7 linked regions of the Oryctolagus cuniculus genome follow. The protein of the gene in region 7 interacts with the protein of the main gene of each other region in a pairwise test. Links are inferred from orthologs where the notes say so. Each region holds a gene or a part of one and is shown on either strand. Other genes may lie near its edges. The genes, in order: C16H19orf44, METTL17, LMO1, CKS1B, MMAB, KIFC3 and CBY2.

Region 1 (4,142 bases), on a different chromosome or scaffold from region 7:
CTACGGTGAAGTGTGGACCACCCCGCGGTGCGGTGGGGGCGCTAGAACCTTCCATCTTGGTGCTCCTTAGCCAACATGCACCTGCTGCCTCCTTCCCCCTCCAACCCTACATCCAAGGGCCCACAGACGTTTTCTCCAAGGCCAGAGAGCGAACATATCTGCGACCTCCTGGGCCATTCGGTTCCTGTCTCAACCTCGCCCGTATTTCGTCGACTTTTCCATCATTTTTATGGGTTATAAACCACCACCCACCTTTCCTCTTCTCCCCCGCCTATACCAAAATGTCCCAAACCATTCCCAGCTCGTTGGCTGTGCACCAAGACGACAGATCAGCCCCAAGAAGCCAGGGTGGAGGCCGGTCCTTGGGATCACGCGTGTCAGGAATGGGGCGGGGGTGGGCCAGCGGTGCAGAGACCCTGATGGGGGGATGGGCCCCCTCAAAACCCTACAAGAGAACAAGGCCGTGTGCTGCGCCTGGGTGCCCTGGTCCTTGGATGACCGGTTCCTTCACTGGGTCTCCTCGATGCCTCCAACTCAAAAACAAACTTATTGAGGGGCGGCGTGGGGTGGGCATGGGGTCTAGGCGGTTGGGACCCAACTCTGGACCCCACTTCCTGCTAATGCAGACCCGGGGATGACCCAAGCAGTTGGGTCCCTTGCCACCGCACCACCCCCGTGGGAAGACTGTTTATTATTATTTTTTAAGCTCCTGCTTTCGGACCGCAGCTACTTGCAACAGGCAGCACACGGTGCTGGCCTCCCCGAGCCAAAGCCCCCCGGATGTGACCCCCCCAACCTACCTGGACACCGTCGCTACGAGGTGGCCCCCCACTCCCTGACGCTACACTAACCTTTGTCTTTTTCTTTATGACCATAAAACTTCCCCGACGAGAGTCTAAAATGCCCAAATTGGGAATTATTGGTGGACTGCACCCATCGGTTGCGCCAGCGTTCTGCAGAGGGGAAACAACACGGGTTACAGCAGGAACTCGTTCATCCGGGTCCCGGGGAAGAGTGCGGGACCGTCGGCCCTTCACCTCCGTCTAGAAATTCCTCCTGGAAGTAGACGGTGGCCAGCGCCACCCGCAGCGCGCAAATAGCCCAGAAGTGGACTCGAGCCCCGGCCATGGAAACGTGCGCGCCCACTCCCTGTAACCGCCCCCTCGCTCCCGGCGGTCTCTGCGGCTGGCCAGGCTCCGTTCCCGAAACTACAACTCCCGTCACAATTCGCGATTGTGACACCGAGGCCACCATTGGTCCCGGGCGCGCAAAGCACGCGGGGCCTGCCCTCAGAACTACTACTCCCATGATGCATCGCGATGGTCACCTGGAGCGTCATTGGTCAGCGGCGCGCGGCGTCCTTCGGGAAATGTAGTCCCTTCCACTCTGGCGCGGTTACCCGGGGCAACAGACCCTTGGGCCTCAGTCTGACCCGGGTGCTGCAGCCCCGGGGCCTCGGCGGATGGACAGCGAGGGAGGAGGTGAGCGGGAATGGTGGGGCGGCTGCAGGGCTGGCTCCCTAAGAGGGGCTGCGGGGGAATGCGGCGCCCCTCAGGGCTGGGCTGGTGTGGCGGCGCCTCACCTCAGGCTCCCGGTCAGGGGCTGGATGCGGTGCCGATGGCGCCAAGGCGGGAGAGACCGGCGTCTGTGGTTTACCAGGCTGGTGTCTGTTTTTTGGCAACTTTATGAGGGTGTGTTTTATCTGCTGGAGTGGTGCCCCCGTCCCCACACGCCAACTTTACAACTTTTTTTTTTTTTTTTTTTTTTTTAATTCCTCCTGAAATCGCCTGCGGTCCCGGTGCGCCCCGGCCCCCGGCCCGCTTTCGGAATCTCTAGGTTCGTTATTTAGGCACATTTGTTATTCAGGGACATTTCTTAAAAACGGAATCTGACGGTTACGGGGTAGGGGGCTTTGCGTCTGGCGCCTGCAGGTGCGTCAGGATTCTCCGTCTTTTTTTTTTTTTTTTTTTTATTTATTTATTCGTTTGAAAGGCAGAGTTATACAGAGAGAGGACTTCCATCCGCTGGTTCGCTCCCCAGATGGCCGCAATGGCCGGGCTGCAGCCAGGAGCCAGGAGCTTCCTCCGGGTCTCCCACGCAGGTGCAGGACTTGGGCCATGTTCCACTGCCTTCCCAGGCCGTAGCAGAGAGCTGGATCGGAAGTGGAGCAGCCGGGTCTCAGGCCACAATGCCCACCCCCCGTTATGATTCTGAAAAAGTCTGCGGGCCATCAGCCCACCTGAAACCACCAACCAAGGATGGACACAGACGCACAGGTGTTGATGGACACCCACCGGCAGGTGGAAGCCGGCCCCGCCCCCGCGGGCGCGCAGCTCCCTCCCCCAGCTCCTGATTGGCTGAGAAAGCTGGGGGGCGGTGCTCGGTGGGGGAGGGAGGGGGAATGGGTGGGTGCGGCTGGGCGGATCTAGGATCAGGGGGAGGGGAGTTTCGCTGTGATGTCATCAGGGCAATAGCTCTGTTTACGTATTACAAAATTTGTGAAAGTTACAAAATAACAAGTGGGGCGGGGTTTGCAAGGCAAGCTCAGCGGCTGGTCCACTTTGGGTCTCGAACCCTCAATTCTACTTGCTGCTAAGGCTAAGTCTTTTCCGAAAATACACCATGGAGCGTAGTAGGCTTGCGCCGGCATCCCCTGTGGATGTTGGTTCGAGTCTCGGCTGCTCCGCTTCCCATCCAGCTCCCTGCTGATGCGCCTGGGAGAGCAGCTAAGGGATGGCCCAAGTCCTTGGGCTCCTGCCACTCATGTGGGAGACCCGGATGGAGCTCCTGGCCCAGCTCCGGCCGTTGCCAGAGCTGTTGTTTGGGGAGCGAACCAGCAGATGGAAAACTCTGTGTCACTCCCTCTCTCTCTGTAGCTCTGCCTCTCAAATAAATAAATCTTAAATTAAAAAAAAAAAAAAAGATGAAAGGAAAATCCACCATGATCATTTCTCGCAAATCCCTCCTCTTTTTCTTTATACTACTTGGTGTTATTTCCATTTTATACTCTGGGATTAACGTGGTCTAATAGCTCTTGACTTTTTTTTTTTTTAATAAATTGTGTCCATTTGCTACAGCATTGTGTTAGGGACTCCTCTGGGAGCTCTTGGGAGAGCCTCCGTGATGGGTGGAGGAGCCCTGGTATAGGACGCCGGGCTGCAAGGGGTCACCAGTTGGACCAGGCACAAGTGCCTGTGCAACCCAATGGCAGCCGGTCCCGGAGCTTTCGTCCCTCCCAAATACCCCGAGACGGCAGCCCGTGGTAGGCTTAAAGCTGAATCCTTGCCGTTCAACTCCCCAGAGACACTCGGGATCCAGGCACGGGCTGGGAGTACTCGGGATCCGGGCACAGGCTGGGAGTACTCTTGTCGCCCCGCACAGCACAAAACCCTTTCCACCTGGGTCAGAGTCCCCTGCGAGAGGGAAGGGGACCACTCGTGCCCGTGGCCATCTGGCCCCACGTGTGTAACAGCTGCTTTTAGTAACAGCATGTATAGAAAATTGTACCCATTCAACCCAGGTGTTCAATCGCCTCGTGTCCCTGTCTGTATTTCTAGGGTTTGTCCTGATTCCGTAGTTTTTACTTGTTTTGGATCCACTGTAGAGATCGTCTGGTTTTATAACGTCACTGGTGGAGACTGAGGATAACTGAAGGGCTCAGGGCAGGAAACCTGTTTATCTGGCCTTGAATAGATGATGAGGAGCACAAGTAGTCTGCTACTTATTTATTTACTTGAAAGGCAGAGTTTCAGAAAGAGAGAAAGACTCAGAGAGAGGTCTTCCATCTGCTGGTTCACTCCCCAGATGGCCACAGTGGCCAGGGTTGGGCCAGGCAGGAGCCAGGAGCTCCATCCAGGTCTCCCACGCAGGTGCAGGGGCCCAAGGACTTGGCCCATCTTCTACTGCTTTCCCAGGCCATAGCAGAGAGCTGGATCGGAAGTGGAGCAGCCGGGACTCGAACCAGCGCCCATATGGGATGCTGGCACTGCAGGTGGCGGCTTTACCTGCTACAGCGCAGCACCGGCCTGGCTTCTAGGATCTTCACAGGGGTCCCCACCGGAGTCGTCTCTCTCTCTGCCTCTCCAACTCTGCCTTTCAAATAAATAAATAAATCTTTAAAAAAAAAAAAAAAAGATCCTGGA
Region 2 (4,158 bases), on a different chromosome or scaffold from region 7:
TCACTAGACTTCTATCCCAGCAGAGTAAGGATGGACCTTTGCTACAGATATCAAGAGTTTACGGCACAGTAAGCTTTTTAGTGTTACATGCTAACACCTCCAAACACTTAGCATAAAGTTAACTAACTTGTGCCCCAACCACCAACAATATGGGGTATAGCATATTGTGTAAAAATGAAATCAGTGTTAAACTAGCTGTCACCTAACAAGATTTGTGATCTCAGGGGCCGGCACTATGGCACAGCGGGTTAAAGCCCTGGCCTGAAGCACCGGCATCCCATATGGGCCCCAGTTCTAGTACTGGTTGCTCCCCTTCCCATCCAGCTCTCTGCTATGCCCTGGGAAAGCCGTACAAGATGGCCCAAGTCCTTGGGCTCCTGAACGAACCCCTGTGGGAGACTCAGAAGAAGCTCCTGGATCCTGGCTTCAGATCGGGGCAGCTCTGACCGTTGCAGTCGTCTGGGGAATGAACCAGCGGATGGAAGACCTCCCTCTCAGCCTCTACCTCTCTCTGTAACTCTTTCAAATAAATAAAATAAATCTTTAAAAAAAATTGTGATCTTGCACATATTTAACCATTAGAAGTCTCACTTTCCTCAAGTGCAAAATGGGGCTGACAGCAGGATATGCCTTGGTAGGAACTAGATTACATAGAAGGATTTTCTTCCTTAATTTTGAAAATTTATTTTTAAACACAGAGAGAGAATCTCCTGTTGATTCACTCCTCAAATCCCAGCAACAGCAGGGGTGAAGCCAAGCCTAAGTCAGGGACTGGTCATTTAACCCGGGTCCCCTACGTGACAGGGACCCGAGGACTTGGGCCATCACCTGCTGCCTAGCAGGGTGTGCACCAGCAAGAAACTGGAATGCGGAACCCAGGAACTCTGATATGGGATGCTGACTTCCCAACAGACCCCAAGGAGAAGTTCCTAGCACATTACCTAGCATGTGGGCGTTCTCAGCAAGCGTTAGCGTTAGCTTATTGCTAACTGACGAGAAACTGACAACTAATTAAACTGTTAACTAAATTATTAATTTACTACCTTTAGTAGTTTAAATCTGGTTTCCTCACCTTTTCATTACTGCATTCTCCGGTTCACAGAGGAAAACAACTCCAGATTCAGTTCTACAGGGAGAAAAGCAACCAGATTTTGACAGCCGAAAGCCCGCCTCCGTCCCTCATGCCCCGCCCCCTCAATTTCGGGCTCTGCAGCACCCCCTTTCCGCCGATCAGGTCGGACCTGACTTCCAAGTCCCGCCCACGAACGGCTTCCGCCGCGAGTAGATTTACATATCGACTGCTTATTGGCTACTAATGAGCACTCCTTCTTCTCATTGGTTGATGCTGTCTCGAGCGAAATCCCGGAGGAAGTTCCGCGCGTCGTTGGGAGCTGAGGGTCACTTTCGTTTCTGTTTCCGGTTCGCCTGCGAAGGCATGGCGGCTGCGTCGGGAAAGAGGTTGCCCTCGATATTGGGCAGATGGCGCCGCGGGCTTCGAATGGCCCCCCAGTCCCGGGTGAGTACCTACTTTCTCTGCTCCCGAAGAAGCTCTGGGACCCTAGAGACAGCTGCGCTCCAAGAAGGAGCTGTTTGGCAGCCGCTTCCTTTAATTGAGAGCCCTCAGTCTTCCTTTGTGGCTGGCACCCAGCTTTCCTTTCTCGGCTTCCAGGCGCTGGCGGCCCTTGTTCGCGGCGTGAGTCAGGTAGATAACAAGTCCGATTTTCTGGGGAAGAAGCCTCACCGTCGGCACCCTGGCATCCTACGTCTGCCGTGCGTGCAACTGCCACAGGCACTGGCTGACGCCGCCCAGCTACTGCTACTCCGTAAGTAACGGCGGGAAAGGGGTATCCGAGGAGAAAAAGAAATGGGCCTTTGCACACAGGTAATTCTGCTTTTCATCTCTGGCCTCCAGAGAACGCAGTGCCCAATGTGGAGAAGCATGTGCAAGCACTGACCAATTATCTCTGGAGCCGACACTTGCCCGTAGAACCTGAGGAGCTACAAAGACGGGCTGTGAGTCTGGAGAAAAAGTTCCTGGAAAACGCAGGTAGGATTGAAGACTGATGAAAGATTAGGCCGGATTGAAACTGGGGAATGAAGTGCAAGAGATAATTTTACAGTCTCTCAAATAGATATTGGAGTTTCTTATTTGACTTTCCACCTTACTGGAAGATAGATTTGTTCCAGAGACTACCCTTGGGACGTGAGGAAGGGACAGAGTATGGCAATTGAAATCTGGATCCCAGTTGGGACCATCTACTTTTTTTTTTTTTTTTTTTTGACAGGCAGAGTGGATAGTGAGAAAGAGAGAGAGAAAGGTCTTCCTTTTGCCGTTGGTTCACCCTCCAACGGCCACTGTGGCCGGCGCACGGCGCTGATCCGAAGGCAGGAGCCAGGTGCTTCTCCTGGTCTCCCATGGGGTGCAGGGCCCAAGGACTTGGGCCATCCTCCACTGCACTCCTTGGCCACAGCAGAGAGCTGGCCTGGAAGAGGGGCAACCGGGACTAGAACCCGGTGTGCCGGCACCGCTAGGTGGAGGATTAGCCTATTGAGCCGCAGCGCTGGCCCATTCTTATTAAGGTGAAAGTCCCTGTAAAGTTAACTGCCTAATGCTGAAAACCTCTGGGATTGGAGAATACATGTAATATATTCACGGTTGTGAGCTCCTTCGTCTTACAGACCTTTTATTTATCTTGTGTCCCCTACACCCCCCACAATCTGGCTCTGAATGGGCATTTAGTACATACTTGCCAAACACAATAGAGTCCCTTTTCCACCTATAGGAACATTCAAGATGTCACAGTCTTAAGTTTTGGGGAAGTGAGGAAATCCACAAAATAATTGTCCTTCTCTTATCCTTTAAATCTAAATTGTATTTTCCTTTATTATAGAAAAAAATTTGTTGGGTAGGGTCAGTTAAGTTGAATATACTGCTGTTGGAGGCAAATACTATCTCATACACTCTAGGGGTGCTGGTGGTGATTATCCTTAGCTGAAATTTTTCTCTAGGTTTGGCTGCTTTCTTGAGCTTTGAGGCTTTTCCAGTGGGAGAGGGGAGAACCGGGAGGGCAGTGAATTAAATATTGGATCTGGTCTCTGTTCTCCTTAGGTCCTCACTTCCAGTCCTTGTTCTCACCGCAGACTCATCCCAGACAGAAGAAAAGCTTCGTGGAGCAGTGCTACATGCCCTGCGCAAAACCACCTACCATTGGCAAGAACTGAGGTGAGGGGGACTAGAAAACATGCAGAAGGAAGAAAAGTTGGACTTGAAAAGGAGAATGGAGCCGCACAATTGCATGATCAATGCAGTGTTTGAAAAAGTGCCTGAGTGATAGTGATCCCCAGGACCACTCTGCCCTGGGGAGTGAAAAGCTAAAGTGGAAGAGCCCTTTCCAAGATCTTATTTCCTCGCAATGGTCAGCAGGTGTGACTCTGATTTTTGTGCAGCTACAATGAAGGACTGAGCCTGGTGTATATGGCAGCGAGACTGGATGGTGGCTTCGCGGCAGTCTCCAGGGCATTCCATGAGGTGAAAAATCTGTGTCTAACTTGAACGCTCTTACCTGCTGTTCCCTTATTGATTCATAATGTAGTCTGTACGGTAGGGATTCTTAGGGTGCTGCGTAGGCTTTTATGCTTTGCTTTTTTTTTTTCTTTCTTTCTTAAAGTTCTCTTGTCCTGTAAAAGGATTCTGTGACCCAAGAAAGGTTCAGAACCACTATTTTAGGAGCTTGTTGTTAAGTGTTTATGTTGAATCTCAGAATGTGTTCACATCTTTCTTCCTCTGTCATAGTCCCCTAATTCATATTTACTAAGGCACTAAATAAGTATCTGCTTACCATACTGTGGGGTGTTGTGTGTTTCTCCAGATCCGAACTCGAATTCCAGAGTTTCAGCCACAAACCTTAATGGACTTTGGCTCGGGTACTGGCTCTGTCACCTGGTGAGTAACTTGCTTCATCCCTTTCTCAAGTCTAGTTCTAGAAGGCCACACTTAACACCAATCCAGTATCAAGAACTTGAAAAACCACAGGAAAAATAGGAAAGTTGAGAACCTAGAATGTTTCTTCTCTCCGATTAGGCGAGGCAGAAGAAGGTATATGGGTTAGGGCCAGGATTTAAAAGAAGTATCATAGTGAAAAAAGACCCATATCTGAA
Region 3 (3,954 bases), on a different chromosome or scaffold from region 7:
CAGCCACGGGCGACACCCCCACGCAGCCTTGAGACAGGAGGCCAGGCACTAGGCACAGGGTGGGGGAAGGGGGTGCCTGGGTGTCAAGCATTTGTGGTAATGGGAGTGGTGAGGACATTTAGTGGGGACGGTATTGGGAGGGGGATGGGATGGGGTTTTACAGCTGGGGAGTGGGGAAGGGCAAGGCTGAGCCAGTGTCCCGACAGGTGATGGGGGAACCCTGTGGCCCTCCCGATTCCACCCGGATCATTCTCGCGTGGTCTGCAGTCTCCCCAGAGGGTCTGAGCAGGCGGCCGGCAATGGCTGGGGCAGTAACGAAGAAAGAAAGGGGATCCCGTGGCGCGGGCCAGAATTGCCGCGGAGTCACAGCCGCACGGTCACAGCCACTCACATTCCTGTGCCGGGTCTCCAGGCCCCCAGGGACGCACCCAGCCCGCCGCGCTCCCACGCTCCTCCCGCGGCGCCCCCAGTCCCAGGCTTGGAGTCCACTCTCCCGCCGGCGCGGCCACAAGGCTGGCCGCTGCCCGTCCGGGGGCCCAGCTCGCCGCACGGCCCTCCCTCTGGCGTGCGGTCACACACGCACGCACACACAGCCCTCACACGCACACACTCTGGCTGTGCTTTTGTGTTTTGTCAGAATTAATGAGAAAAGTTCCCGTGCCCTGCGGGTAATTAGTGTCCTTGGAGTTAAATAAGCTAATGGCGGGCACCTCTGGCCCAAGCAATTATGTTTGTGTATTGAATAATTGATTCAAAGGGGGGAAGGGCCGCTAATCAGATCTGAGCATAATGAATTGATTTAATTAACAGGGGAATCTGAGGGGCCCTGGGAAATGCAGGCTTCACTCTGCTGAGGCGAGCGCGGCCGGTACGGAGAGAGAACGCGCGCCGCTCCGGCTCCGCTCCGCTCTGCTCCGGCTGAGGCTGCCGCTCCGGCTCCAGCCCGGCCCGCTCCGGCCCGGACAGCGGCTGCTCGCGCGGCCCCAGCGAGCCCGGCCGGGCAATTACGCCCGTGCGCCCGCCCCCGCGCCCGCCCGGAGCCGCGCCGCGCCCTCTCCCTCCTCCCGCGCTCCCTGCCCGCGGGGCTGCGCTCTGGGCGCCGCTCGGGCCGCCCCGGTCGGCGGCCGCGGCTCGCGGGGCGCGGAGCCCGCGAGGGGCCCGCAGGAGCAGCGCGGGCGGGCGGGCGGCGGCGGCTGGAGTGCGAGCCGCGCGCCCCTCGGCGTCCTGGGCCTGTGTCTAGCTGGAGTCGCCGGGCGACCATGGTGTTGGACCAGGAGGATGGTAGGTGCCTGGCGCGCGGTGCCATGCCGCGCGGCGCGTGGGGCATGGGGCGGGGGGGTGGGCGGGCGAGCTCTGTCCAGGCCATCCCGCTCAGCGGCAGCGGCCCCCGCGCCCGCCCCGGCTGCCTTGGGCCGCTTGGCCGCTTCCGGAAGCGCGGCGGCGGAGTGTGCGTTCGTGTGTGTCTGTGGAGGGTGCCGGGCGCAACCCCCGGGGTGGCTCCGCGGGACGGGTAAGTCTCATGGGCCAGCTGGAGCCCGCCGACCCCGCACGCTGTGGCCGAGAACTTTGCCGCTGGCTCTGACTGCCTCGCAGGCACCAGGAGCGCCTCTGCGACCCGCGCCGCGGGGACGCCGCAGTTCGAGCCAGTCCCAGGCCTCTGGGTGTCTGGTGGTCCCTCTGCCGCTCGCCGCTGGGGACGAGGGTGCAGTCTAAGCCCCGTGGTCTTGGGGCCCCTCAGGCCTGGGACTTCACAGCTGCGGGCCCCCAGCCAGGCACTTTGGGAGGGGCTGCCCTGGCTCGGGTAGAAGAGTGGGCCATAAAACTCCACCAAAACCAGGTTCAATCAGAGAGGCACGTTTGCCTCGGGCTGCTCAGTGGCCAGTCCCTGGTGGTCATTTTGTATCAGTAATCTTGTGTCTCTTCTCTTAAGGAGCTCCCCACCTCCAAACTAGTAAGCTTTGGGCTCACAAAGTCTTGGATCCACGCTGGGTCCATCTCACACCCTAGCCTCTGCTAGTCCCTTGGGAGCACCGGAAGCCCTGGTTATCCAGAGACGTCCCCAGGGTCTGGAGGATGCAGAGTTGTGGCAGAAGGACGGGAGACTGGGGAGAGACTCTGGCCACCTGGCCTTCCTTTCTGGCCCCTCTAGTCCCTGCCACCTCCCACAGTGACCAGCTGAACTACTTTGCCCAGGAGTGCCTGGATTTTAGCCCTTAAAGTCCTGCAAGGGAGGACACCCTCCGTCCCAGGGTACACCTGGACGGTTGGGCAGCCCACACCTGCACCTTTCCCAGGGCTGTTGTGTGGCTGCGGCTTGGCCTTCATCGAGGAGGAGGAGACGTGTGTTTTCTGGGGTGCAGATCTGGCGTAGGCCTCACCGGGGGCCTAAGAGTTGTGACCGCAGCCTTGGAGAAGGTCTGTCCGAGTTCTCCAGAAACCAGACAGAGAAAGCTTCCCCACTGTGCACCTCTGCACTCCCGCTGCTAGCAAGTGCTTGGGCACTGGCCGCTTTTAGGGGGCAGGGCAGCGTCTGAACTTGGCCTGCGGGCATCCTGGTTGCATTGCAGAGTCTGTACGGCCACTCTGTGCTGTCAGCTCTAGTACTCAAGAAAAGCAGTCCTTGTCACCTTGAATACCTCTCTCAGTATTACCTGTGAAGCCAACTTGTGACCCCGTCTTGTAGACAGTTGCACTGTGTCGGGAGCAGGGCCCTCAGGTGGAGGTACATCTGACAGCCTCCCCAGAAAGTTCTGGAATATCTGGTCTGCCTAGGCCCTCAGGCTCCGAGTCTCACCACCCCCCCCCCCGCCCCCAGTGCAGGAAGCCTTCCTGCCAGACACAAGGACAAACCGCAGTTCCCTGCACAGAAATGCATAAGACAACTAGTACCAGTGCTTTTCTCCTCACAGTAGTCAGGGTGCTGCTCACCTGCTGCCCCCCCCCCCCCCCGCACTGCTGTGCCCACAAGTTTTTTTCCCAGGGCATTCTGGAGCACTCTCGGCGTGCCAAAGTGTGAGCACACGCTCATCACCTGTGGAATGTGTTGGTGAAAACAGCCTCTCCCGGCCCCAGGGGGATCTCAGGATTCCACTCTGGAGTTACGGGCGTGTCCCCGGGTCTGGAGGCAGCTTGGATGGGGGTGAGCCCAGGGGTAGGAGTTACCTCTGGGCTGAGGAGGAGGAGGGATGGGATGAGTGAAGCTCCTGTCTGGCTCCGTCATCCCAGCAGGGCCCTTCCGGTGTCTGGAGACCCTCTGAGAGCTGGTGGGCAGCTCTGTAACCCAGTAGTGTAGGTCCCCCTTCAGGTCACAGGGGAGTGCCACCCTCCCACCTGGAGGTGCAGAGTCAGCCAGCCACCTGTGAGCACCAGTAGTCATCATAGCAGCTGCAGGCCCCTGCTGGCACGCCCACCCTGCTTCTGTGACACACTGCCTGCTACCCCAGGCCTCGGGCACAGGAGCCCCAACTCCCCAAAGGGATGCCAGCTGTGTGGCCGCTAATTGGGTAACCTTGGGGGCTGGCGTGAGCTGGAGCCAGCACAAAGACAGCCAAGCACCACACAAGGTGGGCATGGGGGGCAACTGGCCTTGGCTGAGTGAGGAGAAGCAGCCCTTGTGGAGTGAATGAGCCCTGGGAGCACGGAGGACAGCTGCCCCTTGCCTGCCTGTCCGGCCCCCAGCTCAGGCAGGGGCGCGGGGCTGGCACCACATGTGCCAGTGGCAGCCATGCCAGAGCCTCCCTCAGACCTCGAGGGCAGAGCTGTGGCGGCAGTGGCAGGGAGAGATCAAGCTTGCAGTCCTGAGGGACGGCGAGCCTGAGCAAAATGATATATTTAACATCAAATATACTCAAGGACTATTAGGATTAAGTATTCGAGATGAAGGGGAAAGCGAAACCCTCTGAGCTGCCGAGGAGGCATCTCATTAGAAGCAGCCGCTCGTCTCTCTTCTCGAAG
Region 4 (4,066 bases), on a different chromosome or scaffold from region 7:
TTTCCAGCAGGGAAGGCAGGACAAGTGGAGCCAGGAGGAATGCCCAGACAAGAATTTTGGCTGGGGGTGCGGGGGATGGAGCCAAACAAGTAGAGGCTGAGGAGTCCCTTAAAAGAAAAAAGAAAAAAAAACAGGATACAAATCCCTAACCCCATTGCAAACCACCGTTTTCTGGTAGTACAAAGTTCTCTCTCCTGTCACGTCCTCAAGCCACACATCAGCAAATCCACGGCCCTGTCTAGCCACAGCCTCAACCTACAGCTGTTTCTGCGGTGGGCTGGGAAACTATGAGCAAGCCTCTGTCCCGTCCTCGGGCCAAACCCCAAGCCCAGGCCCACCCTTGGGGGAGGATAAGGCTGCCTCTAATCTCACTCCTCAGAGCTCCCACCTAGTGGAGCGGGAAAGCCCTCGGGAAAACTGAGCCCAAGGCCCCAAGAGAGAAAGGACAGGAAACGTAAGCAGGTGGAGCTTCTGAGACTGAGGAAACTGGGGTGATGACTTGGGTGCCACCCGGATCGAGTTCCTTAGGGGGCGTGGCCCTCTAGGATGCGCAGCAGACTTCCAGGAGATGAGGCTCCGGGACAATCGGACGTGGATTGCGGAAGGGGCGGGGCTTCTATGGGCGGGGCCTATCGAGGGGCGTGGCCTCAGTGAATTCGAATCGTTCTTTCAAGAGCAGAGCTTTGCCCTTTTGGGAGATAGGATCTTTGACAGACAGGAGTTAGCGGAGAATCGTCGCGAGGAGGAGGCGGAGTTTGGAAGAACTGGGAGGACTAACGAAGCGTTTCTTGTGGAGCTGGAAGCATGTCTGGGGGTGGGACTTCCAGGAAAACTGGGCTACAGGGAGGGGTCGGAGACAATAAATTTAAAAACTGGGGTTCAGGGAGCCCCCTGAAGTTGGGAGGTGGGACTTCCGGAGAGGGGGTCTCAGGGGCGGGACTTAGCAGTGAAGACCGGAAGTGGGGTCCCGGGAGAGGGGTTCCGGGGTGGAGGAGTGGGTTGCCTAAAGAGAAAAAAAAAAGTGAAAACTCACCAGGGCCTCATGGGGTCTCCGCACCGCGCCGCGGGCCGATTTGGTTCCGGATCACGCCACTGCCTGCTTAGGTCGCCGCTCCAACTTTCTCCCCGGCCCGGCCTCCCTGGAGAAACTTTATTACACTCACTTCCGGCCTCACTAACCCCTGACCCTCTACCTCACGGTCCCTCCTTCGCCCCGCCTAGTTTCCTGAATCAGCCAATGGTAGCGCGAAGGCGCTCACAGGCGCCGCGATAACCAATTAGAGGCCTAGCTCTGACCCAAGTTTGTGCTTGAGAAACGTAAGAAGCGCACTCCAATAAAGACTGGAGGAGAAGCAAATCCTAAGCCAATAGGAGGCTCGAAGGTGGAGCTGTCCCGCCTTGAGCCCAAAGGACCAATGGGAAGTGCGGGCGGTGTGTTTGAAAGCGAGGCCAAAGAGGGTGGGAGCGCGTGCTGCTGGGAGTTGTTTGGAGGTTGGCAGCGCGGGGCTGACGGCCCGCAGGCAGAGCGATCATGTCGCACAAACAGATTTACTATTCGGACAAGTACGACGACGAGGAGTTCGAGTACCGGTTAGTGCCGGCGGGGGGCCGTAGCGAGGTCGGGAGAAGAGAAGGCACGAGGAGTTGGTAGCGAGGATGGAGGCGACAGAGGGGGCGCATGCGCAGGAGACCAGCGGGGGTGGGTGTGAGGTTGGTGGAACGCGGAAGGCGCGTGCGCGGGGGGTGGCCGGCGCCCTGGAACAGTGGAGTCTGGAGTCAGCCCCCGGTTGAGGGGAGGCGTGATGAGTCCGACCACCTTCACCCTGTGGGTTTCTGGGTCTTGGTCTCAGCTTCACTGGGAGCTGCTGTGGAGTCTACTGGGTGAAGGTGTCAGCAGCGGAGCTGGCCTTTTCCTCGCGTTCTCACTGCGAGCGGTGAGAATGCTGAGGAAGTTAATGCTGCTTATTCTTGGGGAAGGAAAGAGGCGTGGTTGTCTGGCTTGTTTTAGGACGGGGGCGTCGAGGACCGGGCCGGGGATTAAAGTGCCGAGAAGCACTGAGAACCAGTGGAGTGCGTGCAGGTTTCACTTGTTTACTGGATGTGAGCATCTCACGGTCTTTAAAATTCTGAGCAAGAATCTGGCAGACGGCTGGAAGAAGGTGGTGGGCCTGCGGAGCCCGGGCCGTGAGCGGGGCGTGGTGGGGACACACAGCCTGGCAAGGAAGGGGCGGGGGCTCCCTGGAAGAGCCCTCAGGTGACACTGTAGCAACGAAGGGAAAAGTACAGCTTGACCAGAATTGTCCCGGAGGTACTGGATGGCCAGATGCCCAAGATGGGGGAGCGTTTGGGTTTGATAAGTTCTGAGCCCATAGGAATATTAGATTGGAAAAGGAGGAAAGACAGAATTCTACAAGTGTTGTCGTCACACTAATCTGTATCAATTGCAATATTTAAGACGGCTTGCGGCTTTTATCTTGCCTCCTGGAATGGAGGGGGAAATGGAAGCTTGGTTTTCTCGTGCCTTCCCTCAGCCCGGTTCGGGCTGTGTTTACAGACACATAACCAGCTTCAGGCTGGGATCATCCTAGATCCTTCTCAGACTCCATTCCTTTTATTTCCCTCAGCTGTTTTCCTCTACATCCGAACTAAGCGAACTCCAACTGTATGCTTATGACGTGTTTGCAGGGCTGGGAGACATCACTAGTTTCGTCCCTGGGAAGATGTAACTGTTAGTTTGGCAGTGGCGTTTTGGTTTAAGAGAGGGGTTTGTTTTGTTTTGTTTTAATGTACTGAGGCCAGATTTTGTGCCAGGGGCTGGTTAGAATGTCAGCTATTTTCAGACATTTAGACTAGAATTATCTCTTTAGGAAAAAAACCTCTGATAATTAGTGCTGAGGGAGCATTTAGGACATTTTTGTTGCGTGTGATGAAGTGTATCTGAATGAGTCCAGTTCCAGTCAGAGGAGTCATTTCTTTGCCATGGAGACTCATCCTTGGTCAGAGAATCAAGTCTCATGGCATGCCCCTTCAGAGTTAGGAAAATGAGATTCAAGATTTTTGAAAGAAGACTAACAGTTCACCTCTGTGATGTGTCTTCCACACCCCACTTTATCGATGTTAACATTTCATGCTCTTTGTAGGGCCTGTTACATTGTGGGTAATTACTAGAAAACCCTAAGATCCACAAAGGCACAGAAAATGAACATCAACAGTGCCTGGCACTCAGTCACTGGAAGTACTCATTCGCACTCTTTAATATACCCTTGCGAGGAGCCTTGTTGTGGCATAACGGGTTAAGGCGCTACCTACAATGCCATACGGGCACCAGTTCAAGTTCTGGCTGCTCCACTTCCAATCCAGCTCCCTGCTAGTGTGTCTGGGAAAGCAGCAGAGGATGGTCCAAGTCCCTGGGCCCCCGTACCTACATGGGAGACCCAGATGAATTTCCTGGCTTCTGGCTTCAGCCTGGCCCAGCTCTGCCTGTTTTGGCCTTTTGGGGAATAAACCAGCAGACAGAAAATATCTAACTTTGCATTTCAAATAAATAAAATTTAAAACTATATATATAGTCTTGTGAGAATTTTTATAACTTGGCCTATATTTTCAGCTGCCTCTACCCCACAATAAGATTGTATAAACTCAAAGGCCGACACTGTGGCGTAGCGGGTAAAGCCACTGCCTGCAGTGCCAGCATCCCATATGAGTGCCGGTTTGAGGCCTGGCTGCTCCACTTCTGATCCAGCTCTCTGCTGTGACTTGGGAAAGCAGTGGAAGATGACCCAAGTCCTTGGGCTCCTGCATCCATGTGGGAGACCTGGAAGAAGCTCCTGGCTTCAAGATTGGCACAGCTCTGGCCATTGCGGCCATCTGGAGAGTGAACCAGTGGATAGAAGAACTCTCTCTCTCTCTCTCTGCCTCTGCCTCTCTGTAACTCTGCCTTTCAAATAAATAAATCTTTAAAAAAAAAAAAAAAAAAAAGATTGTATAAACTCCAGAAGCCAGTTTCTCTTTTTCCTTTCTTGGCTTTATATACAGGCACTTGTCCAACAGGCTGTATCCAGTACTA
Region 5 (4,025 bases), on a different chromosome or scaffold from region 7:
TGAGACTCGCGCCAGGAACAAGGGCTGCCCGATCCCAGAAGGCACCGGGGCGAGGGGGGGTCGTCTACCTTGCCGTGGACCACGGCGTGTTCTCCGTGGAGGATCACTTTCCCCGGAGCAGACACCAGCAGGGCTTCCGACAGCATGGCTCCTGGCACTCCTGGAGGTGAAAACCAGGCGGCAGAGCCCGGATCCCCAGTGTCAGAACCAGCAGGGAGAGGACGAGAGAATGCCCGGGTGAAGCCCAGCATTAAAACCCAAAAGGCGGCTGCCCGCCAGCGCGTGCTCTGCGCCCGCGATACATCAGAGAGATCCGAGTTCAAATCCCAGACCCTCCACTCCTAGGGATGCTGCCTCCGCTCACGCACCTGAATCGGCCATGAACTCGGATTCCCCACCTGCCACCCGGGGACAGTACGTGCACCTGCTCCAGTGGGTCGCTAGGAAGGCTAAATGCACGCAAAGGAAACTCAGCAGCGCCCGGCACGTTGTAATCGCGTGATTCCGGCCAGCTACTCATCGCCGGCTGGCTCCTCTTGGTTTCAGCTTCTACTATTTCTACTGCTGAAGGTGGACTTTTAAATGAAGCCGAGCACCAGAAGGAACCCCGCGCTCCCCCCGACGCGGACGGTGTTGCCAACGCATCACAGCCAAAAGCAAGGCTGCAGAAAACACCTGTCAGTCCCCGTTCTGCAAGATGGGGTCCCAGAAGGCGGCAGCTCAGGCGCACTAGGAGCTCGGAGCTCCCGTGACCCCTGTCTCGTAGGCGCTCGCTCACCGCAGCTCGAGTCACACCTGTCAGATTCCGCCCCTCAGCGCGGGTTCTCGAGAGCTGAGGAAAACTCCAGCAGAGAACCTAGGCGCCAGGCCCCGGGTCGTTCCGGGTCCCAGAACCTCGCTCCACCCGGCCCCGCGACCGCGACCTCTCACCTGCAGCTACCGCGACCCCTCTGCATGGGACCTCAAGTGGCCCTGGCACTCCTCCATCCCGGAGTTCCGATGCTCCGGGGGGAAGGCGGCCGCGTCCTTCCGCTCAACCAATCAGGACGCGCGAGACGGGAATCCTTTTACTAATTGGCTTGAGCATTGGCCAATAAAGATTGCGGCTGAGCCGCCCTGGGTTCTCCCGCCCCACTCCTTCTGTAAACCAATGGGAAACAGATCGTTGGGAGTGTCCCGCCCTGGTGCGAGCGCCGCGAACCAATGGAAAATGGAGCTGAACGGTGGCGCGGCCGGCTGTAGGCGGGGTCCTCCCAGGGCCTGGACGGGAGCCTGACGGGTTCAGCCCCCGTCAGGTCGCCCGGAGCATGGCTGTGTGCAGCCTGGGAGGCCGCCTGGGCCTACGCGGGTGCCTTGGCACCGGCAGGCTACTGCGTCCCCGTTTCCAGAGCCGCGGCCCTCAGGGCGTGGAGGACGGGGACAGGTGAGTGGCTGGCCGGGAGGGTAGCTCCACACCGCACGTCGCCGTGGGTCCTCTCACCGCCGTGACGTCGCCGGTGTGTGCTGACGTCACCGTGGCCGGGGCCAGGCTTTCCTTGCCCCAGTCTGAACGAAGGCCAGCTGTCATTGATCAGGGCAGGGAGCCGGGACACGGCTACGCCAGCGCCATCTGCCATCTTAGGGCTGTCGTCATCCGCCTTGCACCATGCGCTCAGCCCAGACCTCAGACCCAGTGGGTGGACCTCTGATGGATTAGGGGTCGGATGGATTCACGCAGTTCGCACGCCCGCATCGCACATCAGAGCGCCTGGGTTGGGGTCTCGGCCCCGCTCCCAATTCCAGCTTCCTGCCCCAGCGCACTCTGGGCAGCGGGTGAAGAAGGCCCCGGTACTTGGGTCCCTGCCGCTGGATGGGGCTCCTGGCTCCTGGCGTCTGCCTGGCCCAGCCCTGGCTGCTGCGGGCGTTTGAAGGCGTGAACCAGCGAATTGGAGCTCGTGCGCGCGCTCTCTCTGCCTTCCAAATAAGATGAAAATAAATTATTTTTATGGATTGATCTATTTCTTTAAAAAAAGATTTATTTATTGTTTATTTGAGAGTGAGAGAGAGAGGGAGAAAGAGAGAGAGGTCTTCCAGCCACTGATTCACTCTCCAAATGGCCACAAAAGCCAGAGCTGGGCTGATTCAAAGCCAGGAGCCAGGAGCTTCTTTCTGGTCTCCCACGGGGGTGCAGGGGCCCAAGTATTTGCACCGCCTTCCATTGCCTTCCCCGGCCATAGCAGAGAGCTGGATCGGAAGTGGAGCAGCCAGGACTCAGACCAGCGCCCATATGGGATGCCAGCACTGCAGGTGGCGGTTTTACCAGCTACACCACAGCACTGGCCCCTGACATATTTCATAGATGCAATCATTAAACCTTTGACTAACCATGTAATGCCGCAGTTTAATTTGGAGTCACCTGCAAACAGGTGGCTGTTCGCAGAAGCCAGTTTTGAACCCTGCTTTGGCAGTTCTGCAAGTGTGTGTGCTCAAAGCCTCATAGGGTGGGAGTGGCTCTAGTTTCTGGGCCTGCACGAGGCCCTGACTTGTTAGGGTGGAGGTGAGACTTTGGGCCCTGGAGTCTTGGGCACAGATCCCCGGCCTACGCCTGCCTTCCTCCCGACCCAGGCAGGTGCGTCCCGTGCTGTGAGCTGCTGTGTCCTCTGCAGGGTGATGAAGGCAGTAGGTCGTGGAGAGAGCCCTGGAACAATTCCCGGATTGCAGGCCTGTGATTGCTCTGGGGAGTGGTCCGTCGGGGGGTGCTTGTTGAGCGGCCCCTCTGCAGGCATGGACGTGGGCAAGGCCCGAGTGGCCCACAAAGGGTTCGCAACTCGAAGGGATGGAGGGGAGAGATGCCGGCAGAGGGTGGCAGAGGCCGGGGAGGGAGCAGCCCCTCGGTGTAAGCCAGCCCCACTCACCTGTCCTCATGTCTGTTTCGTACTAGGCTAGAAGCTTCCCCGAAGACACCCAAGATCCCCAGGATTTACACCAAAACGGGAGACAAAGGTAGGGCGGGGACAGTGACAAGTGTAAGGAAAGCCACGTAGCAGAGCCCACCTAGATGTTCTTCCAGAAAAGCACGCAGAAGATCTCAACAGACACCACAGAGCCGGGGCGTGACGTGCAAACGGACGGCAGGGGCGGGCCTCTAGCTTAGTAGTTAGGACACCTGCCACACACACACACACACACACACACACACCCCGGCAGAGCACCTGGGCTTGATCCCCATCGCTGGCTCCTGCCTCCAGCTTCCTGCTGTGCAGACCCCGGGAGGCAGCAGGGATGGCCCAAGTGACTGGTGTCCAGCCAGCCACCTAGGACGTCTGGATGGAGCTCCTGGCTCCAGGCCTGACTGTCGCAAACATTGGGAGAATGAACCAGTGAATGGCAGCTCTCTCTCTGTGTCTGTCTGCCCATCAAGTGAAAAAACAAACTTCTTAAAAGTAGGTTACAAGGCTGGCGCCGTGGTTCACTAGGCTAATCCTCTGCCTGTGGCGCCAGCACTCCGGGTTCTAGTCCCAGTTGCTCCTCTTCCAGTCCAGCTCTCTGCTGTGGCCCAGGAAGGCAGTGCACCTGCTTGGGAGACCAGGAGAAACACCTGACTCCTGGCTCTGGATCGGCACAGCGCCGGCCGTACTGGCCATTTGGGGGGGTGAACCAACAGAAGGAAGACCTTTCTCTCTGTCTCTGTCTCTCACTAACTCTGCCTGTCAAAAAAAAAAAAAAAAGTAGGTTACAAAACAGTCCAAAGACTGAATCCATTTGGATAAAAAGCATGTATATGTGTCTAACACACACACACACACATACACATACATATATACATATTTGTTCAGTTATGTATATAATAATCTGGAAGATCACACCTTGGACTGGGGGAGAGATTGAGTTGAGTTTTGGGGGGAGGGGGTAAAGAGTAGAAGGGTTTTATTTATTCAACATACTTATCTTCCATTCTGTTTTTCATATGCATATATATTACTTTGATCATTTGAAAACATGATAGTGTATATAAGAAATAGAAATAATAGAATAGAAGAAATAAG
Region 6 (3,824 bases), on a different chromosome or scaffold from region 7:
GGGCTGCTACTGTAATTTATAAGGTGAATTTTATTAAATTTGTAACTCTTGCCTGCTCTCCTCGTGGGGAGGGGCACTGTCTGGCCCCCAGGCTCTCCCAGGACTGCCAGCCCTGGTGCTGCAGGCTGTCTGACCAGCAGGGCACAGCAGCAAAGGGCTAAGTCAGGTCCACCCCGCCATGGCTGCGCACCAGGTGAGGGGGTGCCCACGGCCAGCGCCGTCGCCCCATCCGCTGAGGGCGGCTCTGTACTGCCCTTCCCCGCTGCACAAGTTCCCAGGGCTGGGACTCAGCACAGGCTGGTGCAGGGGGAGTGGGGGAGAGCGGAGCCCCAGCCGCACCCTGCAGTTTCCCACCTATTGCGTGGAGGAGACACCCGTGGGATGGCTGCAGCAGCCAGGGGCGGGGCTGGCCCCTGTGAACCCTGGGCAGAGGGGGTGAGCAGGCCACACCCCCTGCGGCTGGACCGAGGGCTGGCCAGCCCAGCTCTTTCAGACCACACTCGTGTAAAAAAAGGCTTTTATTTTAAGAAGTAAAAATGGCTACGCTTCCAAAAGTTCTTAAATAGGACTTCAGAGGGGGAGAGGTGGGAACGCTGGAGTGCCTGCTGCCAGGCGCCGGGGGGAGCAGCTGAGGCCCCGCGCCCCGGGAATGCTATGTACACGTGGCTGGAGCCCCTCGGTGCCTTCTGGGAGACCCCGCGGGCCTGGGGGCAGCTGGCCAGCCCACCCTTGCAGCTCACGCCGTCCGCGCCACTGGTGAGCCCGAGCCGCTGCTTCTTGCTCTGCGAGGGGCCGGGACGTCCCTGTCTCCTGCGAGCCGGCGAGCACGGCCGGCTGTCCATCCATCACACAGGCAAGGGCCTCGACTTCCCTGCGGGAGGGGAGGCGGGGAGGTCAGCTGCGGGCCAGCAGCGGGCAGGGGTGCCCACAGCGGTGCTGCGAGAGCAGGAGGGAGCCCGCAGAAGCACACAGACAGCAGGCAGCGGGGACAGAGCCAGCCCCGCCACCCAGGCAGGCGGGTGTGCAGCGCTGGGCCGCTGGCCCCACACTCACCTGGAGACTCTGCAGCCCAGCCTTCAGGCTGAAATCAAAGCGACAGGCGTCTCACTGGGGGCGTGCCTCAGGCCAGGCCCCCACGGGGTCCTGCCAACCCTAGCCCTTTGCCGGCCCTCCAGTGGGTACTGGCACCTGTGCCGGGGCTCGCCTCTCCAGGACACAGGTGGGCTCCGCCCTCTCTGTGCCCAGGGTAGGGGTCCCTGGCCTGCTCCCTGAGCCCGGCCAGCCCCAGTTAGGCAGCAGGAGGGCTGGGCTGCTCCTCACACCGGCCCCTCCCTCCTTTTGTAAAGTGGACCCAGCGCTGTGTGCCCGACGCTGCAGGGCAGGGGACAGGGTGACAGAGGTTCAGAGACTAGAAAAGCCCACCCAGGTAGGGCACCTGGGGGCTGTGATGATGGAGGGGGTAGGGTTGGGGGCTTACCCGAGGGCTGCAGCTTCCTTCGGATGGAGCCCGCACGGCTCGTGGTCCCTGAGCCGGGGGCTGAGTGGGCACGTGCTGAGGGCTGCGGTGCCTGGCAAGCTGGCTCCCACTGTGAATGGAGGAGGACAATGGCTGGGCCTCCCTCCCCAAACCTCAGTTTCCTCATCTGTGAATGGGCGTATTAACTCTTATGCTCCCTGAGACGGGCTCTCGTTAAGTGAGACGCTGGTACTCCGTGTGCCAGGCCTGCAGGCCTCCCTGACCATGACAGATCTGGACTAAAGAGCTGCGGCATCTGGGTTCGTTCTAGCTCCACCCCCTTCACCCATAGGCCCAGTCGGTCCCCTAAGCCCCTTCCTGCTGCTCACGCCCCTCCTGCCCCGGGCCAGCCCGAGATGGGCCTGGGGTGGTTCCCTTACCTCCAGATGCTCCTGGCTGGACCAGGACCCCAGCTCTGTGCGCCGAGCCCCAGGGCCCAGCTCCACAGAGCGTACCCGCTCGGCAAACTTGAGCGAGTAGAGCGTCTCGCTGGTGTTTTTCTCCACAGGGGACACCTGGGGAACAGAGTGGTCAGCCCACCCAGGCCAGCCAGCCACCCCCGTAGCACCAGAGGGACAGTGATTCCGAGGAGGGGAGGGAGGAGGGTGTGCGAGGCACACACATCACTGACTCAGGAGCGTGGTGCTCGGGGGGGGGGGGGGGGGGCCCCGGAACGCGTCTTGGTGCCAGCCCATGACGAGCGCCCACCTGCACCACCATGAGGGTCTTGCTGTCGCCGCTGAGCGAGTCCTGCAGCAGGTAGGTGAGCTTGGAGTTGCGGAAGGGCACGTGGCCCTGGCGCGAGCGCAGGGCGGCAATGACGTCCCCCAGCGCCGACAGCGACTTGTTGATGTGCTGCGCCTCCCGCAGGCGGCTGCCCTCGGCTCCCGACTTGCCCACGCGCTCTGAGCCAGCCAGGTCCACCAGGTTCAGCTTCCCTGCAGGGAGGGTGCCAGCCAGGTCAGGGCTGCCTGCCGCGGGGGGGCCTCCGCCCAGGCTGCCCAGGGTCCAGCGCTCACCCGTGGTGCGCAGGCCCGTGCTGCAGTCCGTGCCCCGCACCGTCACGATGAGCAGGGCGTGCGAGCGGGAGCTGTGCTCATTCAGGTTGGTGAACTCCGTCGTGCGGTTGGTGTGGCCGAACTCAAACACCTGGGGCGCAGGGTTCAGAACAGGTCTTCGGAATCGCCCTGGCCCCAACGCCCCTCGCAGACATCTCCCAGCTGAGGGACATCGGTCCCTCAATGCCCACAACAGCCAGGGCAGGGCCAGGCCAAAGCCAGGAGCCTGGAACTCAACGCAGGTCTCCCAGGGGCGAACTAAGGACCCAAGTACTTGAGCCATCGCCTGCTGCTCTCAGGAGCCACATTACCAGGGAAGTGGAGGGGAAGCAGAGCAATCGGGCCTGGAAACTGCTATGGCACGTGGACATCACTGCCGCAGACGCCCGCCCTTCCACACCGGAGAGGAGCAAACAGGCTCAGAGCAGACAGGGGCAGGCCCGAGTCACACAGGGCAGGGCAGAAGCTGCCGTGGAACCTGGCTTCGTCCTGGTCCACAGCAGCTCTGCGTGGGCCCAGGGTCTCCCCAGCATTTCCCCCAGAGCCCCCCAGCCACACACCTTGTTGATGTCGTCCACACTCTGCACCCGGAACTCGGTCAGTCCTGGCACATACAGCTGCCCACTGCCATCTGGGCACAGCCGGATCTCCAGCTTCTCCTGAGGCTCCTTCCCCAGCAGGTCCCTGGAGGGGCGGGGCCGGGGGAGGGCGGTTACTCCTTCCTCCCAGGTGAGGCCTCTCCTAGCTCCCCACCTAGATCCCTGCTCCTCCAGCTGCTCCCTTGCACTCTGCTGTTCCCCAAGAGTCCTGTAGATGGCGCCATTCCTGCCTCCACAGTGAGCAGCTCTGTGGGCAGAGCCTCAGCTGCTGTCTGCTGTGCACCACTGCCCCTGCAGCCCACAAGGAGAGCCCCCCTCCACAGTCCCTCTCGTCCAGTCCCCAGCGGTGCCCACAGCCGCCTGTGGGGCTGGCGCCTGCACCTGAGGACCTCGTTGTAGATCTCGGCGGCGCTGACGGTGATGTTGTACTCCCAGTCGGACGCCTTCTCCTGCACCTCGGAGAAGAGCAGCTGCAGTGCCCGCTGGTTGATGCCAGGGTTCTCGGGGGTTCCCTAAAGAAGGAAAGGGCCCCGTGAGCCAGGCCTCTCGGGGGGGGGGGGCTGTGCCATGCTCACGTGGCATCTGCTGCCCCTAAGCCCCTCGGCCACCACTCCAGGGGAGCCTCCCTACCCAGAGCACCTCCCTGCCTGC
Region 7 (4,044 bases):
CAGAGAGCTGGACTGTAAGAGAAGCAACCGGGACAGAACTGGCGCCCCAACGGGGACTAGAACCCGGTGTGCCGGCGCCGCAGGTGGAGGACTAGCCAAGTGATCCACGGCGCCGGCCGCATGTTAGGTCTTAAAGCAAAGCTTTCTTGTAAATTTGGGTGTGGGGGACTCAAAAAGGTGGTTCTGGCTGGTGTCTCAGGATCTGCTGCCTCTGGTCCGTCATTCCCTTCTTACTGCACGTAGGGTTGGGGTGTGCCACTGGCTTACGGTACAAGAAAAGGCTCCCATGAACAGCCTCTAGTGGTGAATGATTTGCCCGAAGTGAGGCCAGGGCATGGGGCATTGTGGTCTTGATGCTGTTACCTCCGTGGTATAATAAGAAAATAAACTCTGCTTTTGTCCTTGATTCCTGGCACAGAGCTCCTAAAATCCTTGGCATTTCCTCTGTGTCTTTTGTTATTCATAATGAGCCCCTTTGGAACACACCTGAGTTTCAGCTAATGAGGCAACCCTTGAAGGCTGGGGGCTGCCGCCAGAAAAACTGACCATGTGATTAAAAAGAGGAAACTCTCATCACCACCCCCCAACCCCTACCTCTAGGAAGGGGGGAGGGGCTGGAGATTTAAACAACCACGCCTGTGTAATGAAACCTCAACAGTGGGGTTCAGAGAGTTTCCTGGTGGGAGGACACGTGGACGTGCTGGGAGAGTGGCTGCCCAGGGCTGGCACGGCCACTCCACACCACCCTCAATGCCCAATACCTTCCCTGTGCATCCCGTCTATTTGGTGTTCCTGAGTTGTGCCCCTTATAAGAAAATGGTCATCATAAGTAAAGTGTTTTCTTGAGTTCTGTGAGCCATTCTTGCAAATTATTGAAGCCAAAGAAGGGGTCATGGAACTCCTGGTTTATAGCTGATCAGTCAATGGTACAAGTGGCATCTGAGGTGAAGGCAGCTTGGTGGGACTGAGCACCTAACCTCTGGGATCTGGCACTCGCTCCAGGTCGATGGTTTCAGGGCGTCCACTGGTGACAGCCCTGGGGAATCAAGTGGTGCCACAAAGCTCCTGAGTCCCTCTTTCCTCCTTTGGTCTGGGAATTCAGTTGGTATTTCTTCTTGAGCAATACAACTACAAGTAGATAATGCCCCTTCTGGAGAGAGGACGGCCTGGCAGTGGGGATGACCAATCAGGGCCTGGTGTTTGGGGTATTGTGTGTCACACTGACCCTACTTAGCCACGTGGTCACAGATGCTGCAAAACTCTTCCTACCTGCCAGATGCTTCGTTCCCACCTGTGACGCTCAGAGAGAAACCATGAGCCCTGCAGAACACCATATTGTTTTGTGATGTCACCTCTGGAATGTTCTGAGTGTTTTGGTGACCAACTTCTGCACAGGACCTATACCTGGCACCTCACATTGGTATGGCTTTTTGCTTGGGAGGGAAACAGTAGTCTTACACAAGGATGTAGATATTAGCAATCAGTGCTTCAAAGACATCAGCTATAGTATCTGTATGAATTTGTTTAATAAAATATCAGAGATTGTCCACACACATTTGCAGATGCAGATTTTCATAATGTACCTAATTGACAAGAAGCAAATAAATGAGTAGAAAGTCCTATAATTGTCAGATGAGCAATGGAGGCCCAGAGGGTGGGTTGGGCAACAGAAATTTTCCTCTTTTCTCTTTTCTACAGCACTCGAGGCCAAATTTTACAAGAAAACGAGATACCAGATCTGAAAGCCTAGAAATCCCAATCAATGTGGTTCTGCCTCAGGTAGGATTAATCACAGAAGGATGAAATCTGCCCGTTTAAGGCAGAATAACACTCCTCTTCCAAAACTCCAGCCTGATGTGGAGTAAGCTGAAGAGTCAAGGCCTCCGATTCTAGTTGTGCATTTGACCACCCACCCATTCTGTGCCTGGGGGAGGAAACATGGCCTCTGTGGGCCTTGGGTTCCTCTTCTCTCATACGAGGAGTGTGAATTAGATGACCTGGCCACCCTAACATTTCAAGTTTCTATGCTAGACTGAAAACAAAAAAAAACAAAAAACAATCAAATATTCATCCTCAAAGGGAGATCTTTGGTGCTTGGTGATGTATTAGCACTCTGGATTTCTAGGGGGACAAGTAGACCTGGGGCTTGGGGTCAAATGCTTACGAATGAGTCCATGAGGAGAAAACCTAGCACATTGACTGGATGCTAAGGTATCATTTGGAGATGTCAATAGAATTAAGCCCTGCTGTGTACCAAAGAGAGAGCATAAAGGATACGTGCATGGTTTTGTTTGTTTTGCTTGTTTGTTTTTTTAGGACAATGTGTAGGTGCAGTTCTGACAGGCTGGATTTTTTTTTTTTTTTTTTTTTTTTTTTTTTTTTTTTTTTTTTTACAGGCAGAGTGGACAGTGAGAGAGACAGAGAGAAAGGTCTTCCTTTGCCGTTGGTTCACTCTCCAATGGCCGCCGTGGCTGGCGCGCTGTGGCCAGCGCACCGCGCTGATCCGATGGCAGGAGCCAGGTGCTTCTCCTGGTCTCCTGTGGGGTGCAGGGAGCCAAGCACTTGGGCCATCCTCCACTGCACTCCCGGGCCACAGCAGAGAGCTGGCCTGGAAGAGGGGCAACCGGGACAGAATCCAGCACCCCTACCAGGACTAGAACTTGGTGTGCCGGCGCCGCGAGGCGGAGGATTAGCCTAGTGAGCTGCGGCACCAGCCAACAGGCTGGAGATTCTAAGGTCTTCTCCTGCAAGTGGCTGTTTCCTTGGTGGGGTTCTCTTGATTGGATTGTTTCTACTGCTGTTATGTCACAAAGGGCATGGCCTTGCTTCTCCCAGAGTCACTCAAGGCCCCTTTGGAAGACCATGGGCATGCAGTCAGAGGGGTTGAAATGTAGAATGGAGAGATCCAATGCAGAGGTAACTATCTGACAGCTCTGTCCAGAGTCATGTAGGAGGGTGGGTCACCAGTGGGCATTCTATGTATGTGACTGAACAATCTAGGCATGTATGTTCAGCAGGAGGCACAAATAGAGGACAAGAAAATATTCTGGATGTTTGTTTTCACATTATCCTTAAAACTCTGCAAGTAACAGACACTTTCTATCTGTTTCAGCTCATGAGACTTAGCCAGAATATAGCATTGCTGATCATTTGACAGGATGATGATAAGCTACAGGAACCTTTCTAGGTCCAATTCTTTCTGTTGTATACAGGGAATTCCATTGGACACTATTCCTTTTGATGGTCGGTGTTGCTCCTTTGATTCTTCATAGCCTGTGTAATTCAATCTTTCCATTGTTAAAGGATGGGTAGAAGATGCCAATCCAGGGTGGGGTGGAGGTGACAGTGAGGGTGGGAATAGGATTTAAATAAGTGATGGTCACATGATAGAAAGATTGGAGAGATTCTTCTATCTATATCCAGCACAACTTCCCCTATCCACTCCCAGAAACATCCTAGCAATCAAGGAGGAGAAAAGGAGGCTTGAGACTATGTCCCTGGCTTGTCCTGGGGCCACCCACTTTCTGTGCTATAGGACCTGGTACAGCTGTTGGGCAGTTGGAAGACAGGGTGGGTGTACAGTGAGGAAAATGTTCAGCAATTATCTGGGCACATGTACCCCATGTGGACAGATGTGGCCTCAGGGGTACACATGACAAAGAAGCACAACCAGGAAGCAGGTTGAAGGCACCTTCCAGGATACTGTAGACTAGTCATCTGCAGGAAGGAAGTGGGCAAACCACCACTAGTGCTGTGAGAAAGATGATGTGTTTGCTAACTCTCCCAACATGAGATGGTGCACACAATTGGAGGTAAGCATTGGCAGAGGAGAAAAGAGGGGGAGAAGTGTTGACTGAATATTGATCTATTGATCATATCATGTTTTGAGCACAAAGACACGCAAATGTAAGATTTTCTAGGTATGGGAACCAGGAATTCCTAGAGCCCTTCAGGTAATAGTAGGGTTGGAGTCAGGATCTTGAACCAGGTCAATATCCATACTCACTTGGCTGCACCAGGTCACCTCTTAGCTCTATAAGTCTT

The links.
Region 1: the proteins of CBY2 (region 7) and C16H19orf44 interact in binary tests that used the Homo sapiens proteins (3 or more experiments, as listed by UniProt). The two-hybrid records come from large-scale screens. The link is inferred for Oryctolagus cuniculus from reciprocal best matches to the Homo sapiens genes CBY2 and C19orf44.
Region 2: the proteins of CBY2 (region 7) and METTL17 interact in binary tests that used the Homo sapiens proteins (3 or more experiments, as listed by UniProt). The link is inferred for Oryctolagus cuniculus from reciprocal best matches to the Homo sapiens genes CBY2 and METTL17.
Region 3: the proteins of CBY2 (region 7) and LMO1 interact in binary tests that used the Homo sapiens proteins (3 or more experiments, as listed by UniProt). The two-hybrid records come from large-scale screens. The link is inferred for Oryctolagus cuniculus from reciprocal best matches to the Homo sapiens genes CBY2 and LMO1.
Region 4: the proteins of CBY2 (region 7) and CKS1B interact in binary tests that used the Homo sapiens proteins (3 or more experiments, as listed by UniProt). The two-hybrid records come from large-scale screens. The link is inferred for Oryctolagus cuniculus from reciprocal best matches to the Homo sapiens genes CBY2 and CKS1B.
Region 5: the proteins of CBY2 (region 7) and MMAB interact in binary tests that used the Homo sapiens proteins (3 or more experiments, as listed by UniProt). The two-hybrid records come from large-scale screens. The link is inferred for Oryctolagus cuniculus from reciprocal best matches to the Homo sapiens genes CBY2 and MMAB.
Region 6: the proteins of CBY2 (region 7) and KIFC3 interact in binary tests that used the Homo sapiens proteins (3 or more experiments, as listed by UniProt). The two-hybrid records come from large-scale screens. The link is inferred for Oryctolagus cuniculus from reciprocal best matches to the Homo sapiens genes CBY2 and KIFC3.

What each region holds. Positions count from the first base shown.
Region 1 is NC_091447.1:64,879,808-64,883,949, forward strand, and holds the start of C16H19orf44 (uncharacterized protein C19orf44 homolog), read left to right. Parts: upstream 1-1,342; 5' UTR 1,343-1,481; intron 1,482-4,142. Other genes in the region: CALR3 (calreticulin-3), read right to left, coding at 852-953, 1,038-1,128.
Region 2 is NC_091443.1:53,913,165-53,917,322, reverse strand, and holds the start of METTL17 (ribosome assembly protein METTL17, mitochondrial), read left to right. Parts: upstream 1-1,358; 5' UTR 1,359-1,435; coding exon 1,436-1,516; intron 1,517-1,669; coding exon 1,670-1,823; intron 1,824-1,912; coding exon 1,913-2,047; intron 2,048-3,141; coding exon 3,142-3,223; intron 3,224-3,447; coding exon 3,448-3,529; intron 3,530-3,869; coding exon 3,870-3,943; intron 3,944-4,158. UniProt on the Homo sapiens protein: Mitochondrial ribosome (mitoribosome) assembly factor. Binds at the interface of the head and body domains of the mitochondrial small ribosomal subunit (mt-SSU), occluding the mRNA channel and preventing compaction of the head domain towards the body.
Region 3 is NC_091432.1:57,917,141-57,921,094, forward strand, and holds the start of LMO1 (rhombotin-1), read left to right. Parts: upstream 1-1,154; 5' UTR 1,155-1,259; coding exon of another isoform or gene 1,260-1,281; intron 1,282-1,389; exon of another isoform or gene 1,390-1,510; intron 1,511-3,954. UniProt on the Homo sapiens protein: May be involved in gene regulation within neural lineage cells potentially by direct DNA binding or by binding to other transcription factors.
Region 4 is NC_091438.1:43,534,876-43,538,941, reverse strand, and holds the start of CKS1B (cyclin-dependent kinases regulatory subunit 1), read left to right. Parts: upstream 1-1,266; 5' UTR 1,267-1,531; coding exon 1,532-1,590; intron 1,591-4,066.
Region 5 is NC_091452.1:18,547,983-18,552,007, reverse strand, and holds the start of MMAB (corrinoid adenosyltransferase MMAB), read left to right. Parts: upstream 1-1,225; 5' UTR 1,226-1,307; coding exon 1,308-1,423; intron 1,424-2,920; coding exon 2,921-2,982; intron 2,983-4,025. Other genes in the region: MVK (mevalonate kinase), read right to left, coding at 1-160, 931-956. UniProt on the Homo sapiens protein: Converts cob(I)alamin to adenosylcobalamin (adenosylcob(III)alamin), a coenzyme for methylmalonyl-CoA mutase, therefore participates in the final step of the vitamin B12 conversion.
Region 6 is NC_091449.1:41,227,184-41,231,007, forward strand, and holds the end of KIFC3 (kinesin-like protein KIFC3), read right to left. Parts: intron 3,686-3,824; coding exon 3,555-3,685; intron 3,259-3,554; coding exon 3,135-3,258; intron 2,666-3,134; coding exon 2,536-2,665; intron 2,455-2,535; coding exon 2,225-2,454; intron 2,032-2,224; coding exon 1,897-2,031; intron 1,587-1,896; coding exon 1,478-1,586; intron 1,082-1,477; coding exon of another isoform or gene 1,077-1,081; exon of another isoform or gene 1,054-1,076; intron 872-1,053; coding exon 846-871; 3' UTR 501-845; downstream 1-500. UniProt on the Homo sapiens protein: Minus-end microtubule-dependent motor protein. Involved in apically targeted transport. Required for zonula adherens maintenance.
Region 7 is NC_091440.1:64,764,359-64,768,402, forward strand, and holds the start of CBY2 (protein chibby homolog 2), read left to right. Parts: upstream 1-1,244; 5' UTR 1,245-1,345; coding exon 1,346-1,420; intron 1,421-1,698; coding exon 1,699-1,779; intron 1,780-2,787; exon of another isoform or gene 2,788-2,802; coding exon of another isoform or gene 2,803-2,916; intron 2,917-4,044.